Linked DNA regions of Mus musculus: region 2 is reported to be linked to region 1. The links are microRNA targets in miRTarBase. Many come from high-throughput screens and were not tested one by one. Region 1 holds a microRNA gene; the other region holds the end of a gene's coding sequence.
Evidence for each region. Region 1 holds the annotated microRNA mmu-miR-3470a (UCACUUUGUAGACCAGGCUGG, at 1,856-1,876, shown strand). A microRNA usually pairs through its seed, bases 2 to 8, with sites in the 3' UTR of a target mRNA and lowers its output. Matches are read on the target gene's strand: a 7mer-m8 pairs with bases 2 to 8, a 7mer-A1 pairs with bases 2 to 7 and ends in A, and an 8mer does both.

Region 2: the mRNA of Prss43 is a reported target of mmu-miR-3470a. Seed matches in the 3' UTR shown: 7mer-m8 at 4,333-4,339 and 7mer-A1 at 4,040-4,046.

The regions. Positions count from the first base shown.
Region 1 is chr6:83,087,164-83,092,235 of GRCm38, reverse strand. Mir3470a (microRNA 3470a) reads left to right here and starts at 1,849; the gene lies at 1,849-1,925. It overlaps Lbx2 (ladybird homeobox 2), which reads right to left. Exons shown (of 2, transcript NM_010692.4): 2 at 3,993-4,553. The coding sequence ends at 4,165.
Region 2 is chr9:110,830,430-110,835,501 of GRCm38, reverse strand. Prss43 (protease, serine 43) reads right to left here. Exons shown (of 6, transcript NM_199471.1): 6 at 3,995-4,720. The coding sequence ends at 4,484. It overlaps Prss45 (protease, serine 45), which reads right to left and starts at 914. Exons shown (of 6, transcript NM_153172.1): 1 at 763-914. The coding sequence starts at 868.

The DNA of each region.
Region 1 (5,072 bases):
ATGAAGTCCAGAATTCCTGGGACTGTGGATCTCCAAGTGTGGAGACCATATCATCAACATCACCCGGAAACTGATGGATGCAAACACTTGGGCATCAGGGCAGAAATTTTAATCAGCTAAAGAACACTGAGTTCCCAACAATTTGTGTTCAGTAAGACTTCAGGTAATCCCTGTGCATGTGTGCAGGTACGAGCACTTGTGTGTGTGTGTGTGTGTGTGTGTGTGTGTGTGTGTGTGTGTGTAATACACATGTGAGAAGGATGTGTTTGCACTCATATACACACTTATGGGAGCCAAAAGAGTACATACCTCTTTCTTCAATGCTTCACACTTTTTTAAGGTTATAAGGAATTTGATGTGTAAACCAGATTGGCCTCAAACAGAGATCCACTTATCTCTGGCCCCCAAGAGCTGTGCTCAAAGGCCTGCCCAGCGCACTGCCTTGCCTTGCCTTGCCTTTCCTTTCTTTCCTCTTTTCTTTTCCTTTTCCTTTTCCTTTCCTTTTCTCATCTTTTCTTTTCTTTCCCTTCCTTCCTCCCTTTCCCCCTCCCTCCCTTCCCTTTCCCCCCATTTTCTCTTCTTTCTCATCCTCTTCCTCCTCCTTCTAAGATCTTATTATGTACCCTGGTTAGCCTGGAACTCTCTATGTAGATCAGATTGGTCTCACACTCAAAAAGATCCGTCTGCCTCTGCCTCCCAAGAGCTGGGATTAAAGGTGTGCACCACCCTGCCCAGTTCATCATGTTATTATTATTATTATTATTATTATTATTATTATTATTATTATTATTTTTGAGACAGGGTCTCACATTGACCCTAGATCTTGCCATCTTGGCTAGGGTGGCTCAGCGGTGAGCTTCCAGGATCTGCTTACCTCAGCCCATGAAGTTGGGGCTTCAGATGCGTGCAGCCGTACTCAACTTAACATGAGTGCTGGGGATTTGAACTCAGATCCTGTTGCTTTCACACAGGCTGCTCTTACCCACAGAACTGTCTTCCTGGTCTACACTGCACATTTTTTCTAGGGTCACCAGAGTGGACATCCATCCAGAGCCCACCTTAGTGTGTTTATTTGTTTTGAGACAAAGTCTCCTTTAGCCTGGAATAGTTTAAACTCACTATGTAATCAAAGAAGACCTAGAAACTATGATTTTCCTGCTTCTACATGGTAAGTCCTGAGTGTCAAGCCTCTACCACCACGTCTGACTTACCCAAGCTCTCTGCCAACAGGGCTACATGCCAAGGCCCATTTATTTGGCTTGGTTTTAGTTTGTATTTTGAGACAGGGTCACACTTGCACTGCTGATACCCTGGCTACCATCTCTCTCAGAGATGGACGTCACAATTAGCTCTCTCCCCCGCCTCCCTCCCCTCTCCTCCGTTGCTGGGAACAGAGTAATATAGAACTGAGGGTTGTATCTAGAACAGACAGGGAAGGGGCTGGGATGAGGGAGGGTGAGCATCCATCAAGCTAAAGGGTACAACTTGAGCCTTATCCAGCATGTGTTATATATAGTTCAGCCTGGCCTTGAACTCATAATTTTTCTTAGATTCCTAATTAATCAGATGACAGGCTCACACCATCACACCTTCCTTCTGGTTGCTGGTTTGTTATCCAAGGCTGGAGTGTAAGGGGAGGTGGTACCAGCTGGACAAGAAAGTAAGGAACACTGTTGATGTTGATGGCTCAGTACCAGCTAACAAGACTCCGTTGCCTCAGCTAAAATGATTTGTCCTGAAGCTGTTGGGGGCATGGGCTGGGGAGAGGTGGCAGTTTAGTTTGAGGGCATTTATTTGTTTATGGTTTTATTGAGACAGGGTTTCTTTGTGTAATAGAGCCCTGGCTGTCCTGGACTCACTTTGTAGACCAGGCTGGCCTTAAATTCACAGAGATCAGCCTGCCTCTGCCTCCTGAGTGCTGGGATTAAAGGCATGGTAACCACACCCAGTAGCTCAGGGATTATTCTTCCATTAGTAACTCCTTAAGAACTGTTCATCCAGCATTCTTGGTTTGTGGTGGTTGGAAGGTCAAGCTGCGTGCTTCAGGGGCCCTGCTAGAACTCCTCCTGGTCTCTCAAGAGTGCCTCCTTTCACTGTGGGGTATTTTAGCCTTCGGCTATGTCCAGCTTGTTTTCTTACCCTGTTCTGGGGACTAAACCCTGTCCATTTAGCTAAATCTCCAGCTCCATGGACAACCTTTTTACGTTATGAAATGGCACTGCTGTCCATGAAATCAAAATACCAGCTAAGGAGATAGGGAGTCAGTTAGTCATCTAAGGACCTGCATATGAAGCCTGGCTCAATGCAGTGCCATCCTATTGCTGGAGAGGCAGAAATTTGGAATCCTGGGACTCACTGGTCAGCCAGCCCATTGAAGCAGTGACCTATAGGTTCAGTAAAAGATGCTGTCTCAGCCGGGCGGTGGTGGCACACGCCTTTAATCCCAGTACATGGGAGGCAGAGGCAGGCGGATTTCTGAGTTAAAGACCGGCCTGGTCTACAGAGTGAGTTCCAGGACAGCCAGGACTATACAGAGAAACCCTGTCTCAAAAAACCAGTTCCAAGTGATCCAACACCCTCTTCTGGAAATGTAGGTACCAAGCAACCAAGCACTCTCTCTCTCTCTCTCTCTCTCTCTATATATATATATATATATGTATATGTATATATATATATATATATATTCAAAACACTCATATACATAAAATGAAAATAAACCAATCTAAGAATAAAAGTGTGCTGGGCATGTTGGCCCACACCTTTAGTCCTATCAGGAGGTAGAGGTAGGAAGATCTCTGAGTTCCCAGTCACCCTGGTCTACAAAGTGAGTTGTGTGACAGCCAAAGTTACACAGAGAAACCCTGACTCCAAAAAAAAAAAAAAAGCAACAAAGCAAGCAAACAAAAGCGTGTGTGAGAAAAGGTGAAGCCGTGTTTTCCCACCTACAAGGGCAGTGTCTTGACACCAGACTAAAAGTCCATTCAGTTGGTCTGTCCCACTGATCAATTCACACAAAGCACTCAGATCTTGTGTGAAGACACCAGAATCACGCCCGCCTTTCAGTCTCACTTATTCTCCCCTGAGTTTCCTCTCCTTGGCCCTCCACTCGCTGTCCGAGGTTCTAGCTGCATGGTGGTCTCTTAAAAACTGACAGGGTGGGCCTCTGGCCCCTCAGTGCTCCCTGTCCCTCCCCAGTCAGTGCCTTTGCAGGAGGATAGTGATTAATGGCCAGCAAAAAGGGAGGTCAAAGCTGAAGGTCCGAGATGTCATCAGTGGGGCCAGGTTAGGATGCTCTTGTGACAGTCACAGCTACTTTGACCTCCTCTCTTCAGTCTCACCCCAGGTTCCCATACCTGGGCAGAGGTAGAAGTGGATAGTGCTCTCTTTCCAGACTCTGGGGTGTCACAGTGTCTCATCATAGAGGTTTTGTTTGTTTGTTTAGTGTGGTGTGTGGGGGTGGGGGGCGCGCGTAAGCGCGAGTGCGCTGTGATATAGGCTGACTTAGAACTCTTGATTCTCCTGCCCCCCACCCCACCTTCTAAGTGCTGGGATCACAGGTGTGCACCTACACTAAGCTTACTATGGCTTTCTTAATGCAGGAAACCTAGTAAAAGTTTAATTAAGAGTAGAAGGCTCACATTATCATATAGGGGCCAACCTAAAGGTTAGTACTGAGGTCTCCAAGGCTGCAAGCCTTGGGAACAAAGGTAGCCAGTAGGGGGTAGTGGCCGGAAGCCACCACTAGAATCCTACCCACTTCCTCTCCATCCAGTGTCTCCAGAGGTGAAAGACAAGCCAGGTCTCTGAGGAGTGGCCAATGCCTGTGTACAAATCCTGACCTCAAGCCTCTTTTGAAAAATAACCATAGCCAGACACATACCTTTTAGGCTTGCTACTTGGGCTAAAAGAAGTTTTAAAGGAGCCGCAAGGAATTTCCCAGTGAGTAGCGGCTTGCCTTGGTTTGGGTTGCGGGCTTTCCGAATTGAGGCTTCTTGCAGCAGCAGAGTGGCGGCTTTATTCTTTAACGAGTAAGAAAAGTAGGAGTGTGGAGTAAGAGACAGAACAGAGCTAAATGGGTGTTTACCCTCCACCCGGGAACCCAGACAAGGCCTCTAGCAGGGGGTCCAGGGCCCTAAAATCCAGGGCTGGGCAGCAGCTTCACTTTCAATCGTCCACCTGTATCTCCTCATCTGATAAGTTGGGCTCAGAATCGGGCCCTGAAGGGCCAGGGTCAGGGCTTGAAGTGCTGTCTGGCAGTGCTGGGTAACACAGGACTCCAGGGGACAACCCGCATAGGGAGGCCACGTCCGCGCGCATCTCCTCCACATCCCGCTTGAGCTTGGCGCGACGGTTCTGGAACCAAGTGACCACTTGCGCATTAGCCAGGCCCAGTCGCGCAGCAAGTCCGTCGCGCTCTGACGGTGCCAAGTACTTCTGGAAGACGAATCGCCGCTCCAGCTCCAGCACCTGCTGTGCAGTGAACGCTGTCCGAGACTTGCGGCGTCTCCGGACACCAGCGCCAGGCCCCGGCGGCGCCTCCGGGGCGGCTCTGCCTGCCAGGATGAGACGGAAATGTCAGTCTCGGCTTTGGAGGAGGCTGAGGTCTGGATGGAAAAACTTAGGGTCGCGGGGCTTAAGCAGGTAGAGGGAGCGGGGTGGGCCAGCATCACGATCCCTATACACCGGGTCAGAACCCGGATTCGAAGTGCAGCAGGCCTGTGGGAATGCTGACGACAGAGAGATGAGATTACTCCAGCGGGTAGAGGGTGAGTGGGACTGACCAGAGATCTGGTACGAGAGTCAAGACCGTTTGGAGAAGGTCTCTGACGCCGTTTGGAGCTCCAGGCTGTGCGTGGTAGTAAGTTAGAGGCCAAATTGAGGTCGGGTGACCCATCTGGCCAAATAAAGTCCTTAACACCAGCTCTCTTTCCGGGAGCCCAAAGGGAAGGAAGGCAGGCGGAAGGCGGTTCCTGTGCCCAATAGTGCTGCAAAGGATCTTCTACAGGGCTCAAGAAGTGACTGGGGCTGGGGCTGGGGCTGGGGCTGGGGCTGGGGCTGGGGCTGGGGCTGGG
Region 2 (5,072 bases), not on the chromosome of region 1:
AGGCTACCCTAGGGCTCATGAGACCTTAACCCCAACCCCCACGAATGAAAGAAGAAAAATGGGGGAGAGGCTGAGGGAGAAGCCACAGGAAATTAAAAAAAAAAAAAAAAAAAAAAAAAGGATAGAGATGTAAAACAAACAAACAAAACCAGGAACAGTAATGGGAAGAACACAGCAGGAATGGGCTGAGGATTACATGGGAAATAAATAAAGTGCTAATGACTCTTGGGGAAGGCTGGCCCTGAGAGGGAGGGCACATATTGGGATGGTGGTGGAGCAGGACCGATGTAAGCCCCGCCTCTCAGTATGGGTCGGACCCTGCTCCAGCCCCACCCCACTCAGGAAACACTCTCCCTTTGGCAGTCAGATTTGGAGGGATGTCTGGGGGCTGTGGGGCAGAGGAGTCTGCGAAGACAGCACTCAAGGGCTTGGACTCTGCTAGCGATGGGGGAAAAAAAAACCCAACGTTTAGAACATCATCCTTTTGAGAGGATGGACACACGGAAAGCGGGAGGCGCCTGTGCGTGAAGGGAGGCCAGGGATGCTCCGAGCATCTCCGAGCCTGTTGTCTCCAGGAGGCTACAGCACGACACAGCAGTGGCCTGAGGAACCTAGGAGTGGCAGAAGAGAGGCGACAGCGAGGTGGGGATGGCACACAGAAGTTTCAGGTGGCGGAAAGGAAAGGAATAGCCAACCTGAGCAAGACTGGAGGGGAGAGGACACAGAAAGAAAGGACAATGGAGAAGGAGGTGCCTGCCTGACCTAAGTTTGGCCGCGGAGGCAGCAACAGTAGCGCCGCAAAGCAGATTAGGATCCAGCGCCTCAAGGATCCAGGCCCAGCGTCCAGGCCGCGCAATGACGTAGCCATACATGAATATTGTCCCTAAGGGCAGCAGAGATAGCTGCGGCGTGCTGTCACGTGCCCACATCCCAGTACGCGATGGCGTCTTCGACACATGACTGACCTGGCGCCAAGAGCCTGACCGTGCCTCTTCAGGTCCTTTGAGTTCTGGCATCTGGACCCACTCTCGTCCTTAATATGACTTCAGATCCCTTGACTGGGACTGGGTCTTAGATTCCAGATCTATGACAGCACCCCTAGTGCTCTAAGATCCTGGCGGTGCATCTGGAGCCTAACTGGTCAAAGATCCCTGGGCTGGGATTGGCATCTTGATGCCCATCCAGCCTCAGGGTATACCTTGTTCTCAGCCTGTTGCACAAGGAGTTTCACGGTCACTATTAACAAGGACCGGGAAAGCCCAAGAAAGCAAATAACAATATGGTTAGGAAAAACGGTTTTGAGAACGTAATAGCTGAACTGGATCTAAGACTAAATCAAGATAGGAGCAGGGTGCTGAATAAAGAAGGCAGCTGTCCTCTTCCAAGGACCAGCAATATGACAGGATGTTACCACTGACAAATACTGGCTAGTTTTTGTTGTTGTTGTTGGTTTTGTTTGTTTCTTTTTGTTTTGTTTTGTTGCCTGGCTTTGGGCATAAAGAGAGCTTGTCACAAAAGGATGATCTTTGTGGATTTACTGAGCCTAGCAGAGACTGGGAAGCGATCATCAAAATTCCTCTGTTTCCTTTGTTTATTCCAGGTGTCCAACAGAGCTCTGGGGACCCCATCACCCAGCCTGTTCGTTTACATTTTATTTTTATGTGTATGAGTATTTTATCTGTATGACTGTCTGTGCACCACAGTATGTGCCTGATGCCCACAGAAGCCAGAAGGCGGCATCAGATCCAATAGAGTTGGAGTTAGAAGCCACCATGTGGGTTTGTGTGAATCAAATGTGGGCCCTGTAGAAGATCTTAATCCCTGAGCCAACTCTCCAGGCCCCCAGCCTGGCGTTTAAATGAATCTGAATAAGTAAACGGTGCCAATCGCATATCGAGGCAAGCAAGAGAAGGTTGCCTTCTGCCGCTGTGTGGTTCCCAACGTTAGGCCTCCTCCATACAGCTGGACCAGCAACGCCTGGGAACTTGCTAGAAATCTTCATCCTCAGGCCCTGGCCAAGACTTCCAGAGTTGAAGTTGAAAACTCCCTTAGTGAGACCAATGATATGGATTTGTTTGTTTGTTTGTTTGTTTGTTTAATTTTTTATGACAGGGTCTATGGTGGTTTGAATAGATTTGCCTCCCCCCTCACCCCCATAGATTCAGGTGTTTCAATGTTTGACCATGGAGAGTGGCACTTAGGAGGTGTGGCCTTGTTGGAGGAAATGCATCACTGTGTGGGCGGGCTTTGAGGTCTCCTGTGCTCAAGCTCCGCCCAGGGTGGAATCAGAGCATCCTCCTGGCTGCCTGCCAACTAGAGTCTCTTTCAGCTGCCTGTGGATCAAGATGTAGAACTCACCGTTCCTATAGCACCATGCCTGCCTGCCCACTGCCATGCTTCCCGCCTTGGTGGTAACAGACTAAACCTCTGACGCTGTAAGCCAGCCCCAATTAAATGTTTTCCTTTGTAAGAGTTGCCTTGGTCATAGTGTCTCTTCACAGCAATAAAACCGTAAGACAAGGTCCATTTCTGTGTAGTCTTGGCTGGCTTTGAACTTGTGCTAATCCTCCCACCCCTGCCTCCCAAGTGCTAGGATTACAAATGTGTCCCATCACTCCTGGCAGCAATGTGGATTTTAACAAACTCTCAGCGTATGCTCACACAGGTGAAGGGTGGACCATGAGGCTAAGAGTGGGACTATAAAATGGGGGAGAGCTACCTGTCCACATAGAATAACGCGCTACAGTGAGCAAAATTAAAATTGTTAGTCTACGAAGAGCTGGCGGTTTCTGGAGAGTGGAGGTGGTTTGGGTTTTTGTTGTTGTTTTGACACAGCACTTCCTGTATCCCAGGTTAGCCTCAAACTCCATCTGTAGCAAAGGAACAACTGATTGTCCTCGCCTCCATCTTTCAGATGATGGAGATACAGGCAAACACTACCTCAGCAGGTCAATGTCCAGTGATAATTTTTTTAAAAACATCTTTGGTGATGTATGTGTTCATGACAGAGATGCGTCTGACAGCAGGGTGTGGAGGCACACACCTTTAATCCCAGCACTAATTCCAGGACAGCCAGGGACCCCATAATGATATCCCATCTCAAAAAACAAACAAACAAACAAACAAAACTGGGGGTGGAGGATGGGTTCATCCTTCCTTGGGCAACGGTTGGAACTGAATGCCCACAAAAGCCATAGAGGACAGAGGATGAAACAGAGACCCCAGAAAGACGAAAGTGGGAGAGGGAGATTGGAGGAGACCTGTGAGCAAATCAGTATTCAGTCAGGGATACCAAAACCCAGTGTGAGGTAGAAGAGCTGCATACAGTGTAGTGAATCTTTCTTAAAATCCTCCTGACTTTGGGAACACGGCCTTTGAAAATAAAGTCACATTAATAACCAGAAGAAAGACTTTTTCTCATGAATCAGTTTCATCCCTGCGGGCCCTCCCGCCCCCACCCCCACCCCAGTTCCTGCCTCCCCTGAGCTGCTCCTGGCTGGCTGTAAAAGTAGTGAAGCCCAGCAAAAGTTCCTGCCCAGGCACACAGGGAGCAGGACTCAGCTCTTCTGTCTCTAAGAGGAACTGCGAGTACTTCCCTAGGTAAATGGGGTCCAGTTCTCTAAGCCAAACACCCCAGGTGAGCAGAGCTTCACAACACACAGGACGTTCTCCAAACATTTATTCAGTTTACGTTTGAGATCTCCCCTCTCCAGAACCTCAACGCAACTTGGGATGACCCTGGATGTGACCACTGAGGTACTGAGGAAGGGGGCCAGGCAGGACTGCCTTCTTGTGAAGCCTATGAGGCAGAGGCTATGCATTCCCTGGCAGATTCCCAAGTGGGTACAAGATAATTTCTGCCAGCTCCCAAATACTTAAGTGCCAACCTCATACCTCTGTAGGGAGTTGCCAGTGTTCCCTTCCTCCAACCCTCTCGTTCTCCATCTCTCTCTCTTTTCTCTCTTTTTCTTTTCTTTTTTTTTTTTTTTTTTCTTTTTTGAGATAGGGTTTCTCTGTGTAGCCCTGGCTGTCCTGGAGCTCACTTTTTAGATTTTTAGACTGGCCTCAAACTCAGAAATCCGCCTGCCTCTGCCTCCCGAGAGCTGGGATTACAGGTGTGTGCCACCACACCCGGTTGTTCTCCCTCTCTTTCAGTGGTCACTAAGCTGTGTGATGTAAACAGAGCCAGGTGATATTATCTCTTCTTGGCAGATGTCCCCAAGATCATGGAGTCATGGTTCTCCACCTAGCAGGCAAGCTGGCCCTCTAGTCCAGGTTAGTCCACCAAGTGTGGGTGTATCATGAGGCAAGTAACCAGAACACCAGTCAGAGCACTTTGCAGCCCCCAATCTCCCTGCCACAGTCTACTGTGGCAATAGCTGCTAACTGGAATTTGAAGAAAGGGCAGAAAGACAGAAAGGGAAAATGGAGAAAAGGCACAGTGGGAGACTCAAAACTCTCAGGAAGACAGGGCCTAAGGAGGTCACAGAGCTACCAGGAGGGCCAAGGGAAACACCAGAGACAGGTATAGGACCAAGACTCCCATGGGATCCATACGGGAAGCCTGACTTAAGACATAGCTGACCCACTCATTGTACTCAGCGATGTCTGTGTAAACTGAGAGGACAGGGACTCCATTGCAGTTGATGCCCCAGCTCATGATCCCCACCTGGGTCCACGTGTTGTCAGATTCGCAGACAAGGGGGTTCCCAGAATCTCCCTGGAAAACAAGAGGAAGAAACCAATGGCTGGGATGGAAGAGAGAGCAGACTGCATTGCAAGGTGCTGGGACACTTTCTTGGGCACCCAGAGCCTCTCCCAGGCCTAGCTTCTTTTAATGACTGAGATCTAACAGATGAAAATCTCCTATGAAAACATCAACATTCTCTAGGCAACGATACGTGCTCGGTGATGATTAGGCACACAGGCACAAGTGGCGAATCCAATGGAGCCCAGAATAGCAGTTGTATAGTGAAATATACCTTGAGAGTCCCTAATCTACAGGTACCAAACCTGTCTGAGAAACGCCTAAGCCTGTCATAACTCATAACCCAGCCACAGTGGTAGCCCTG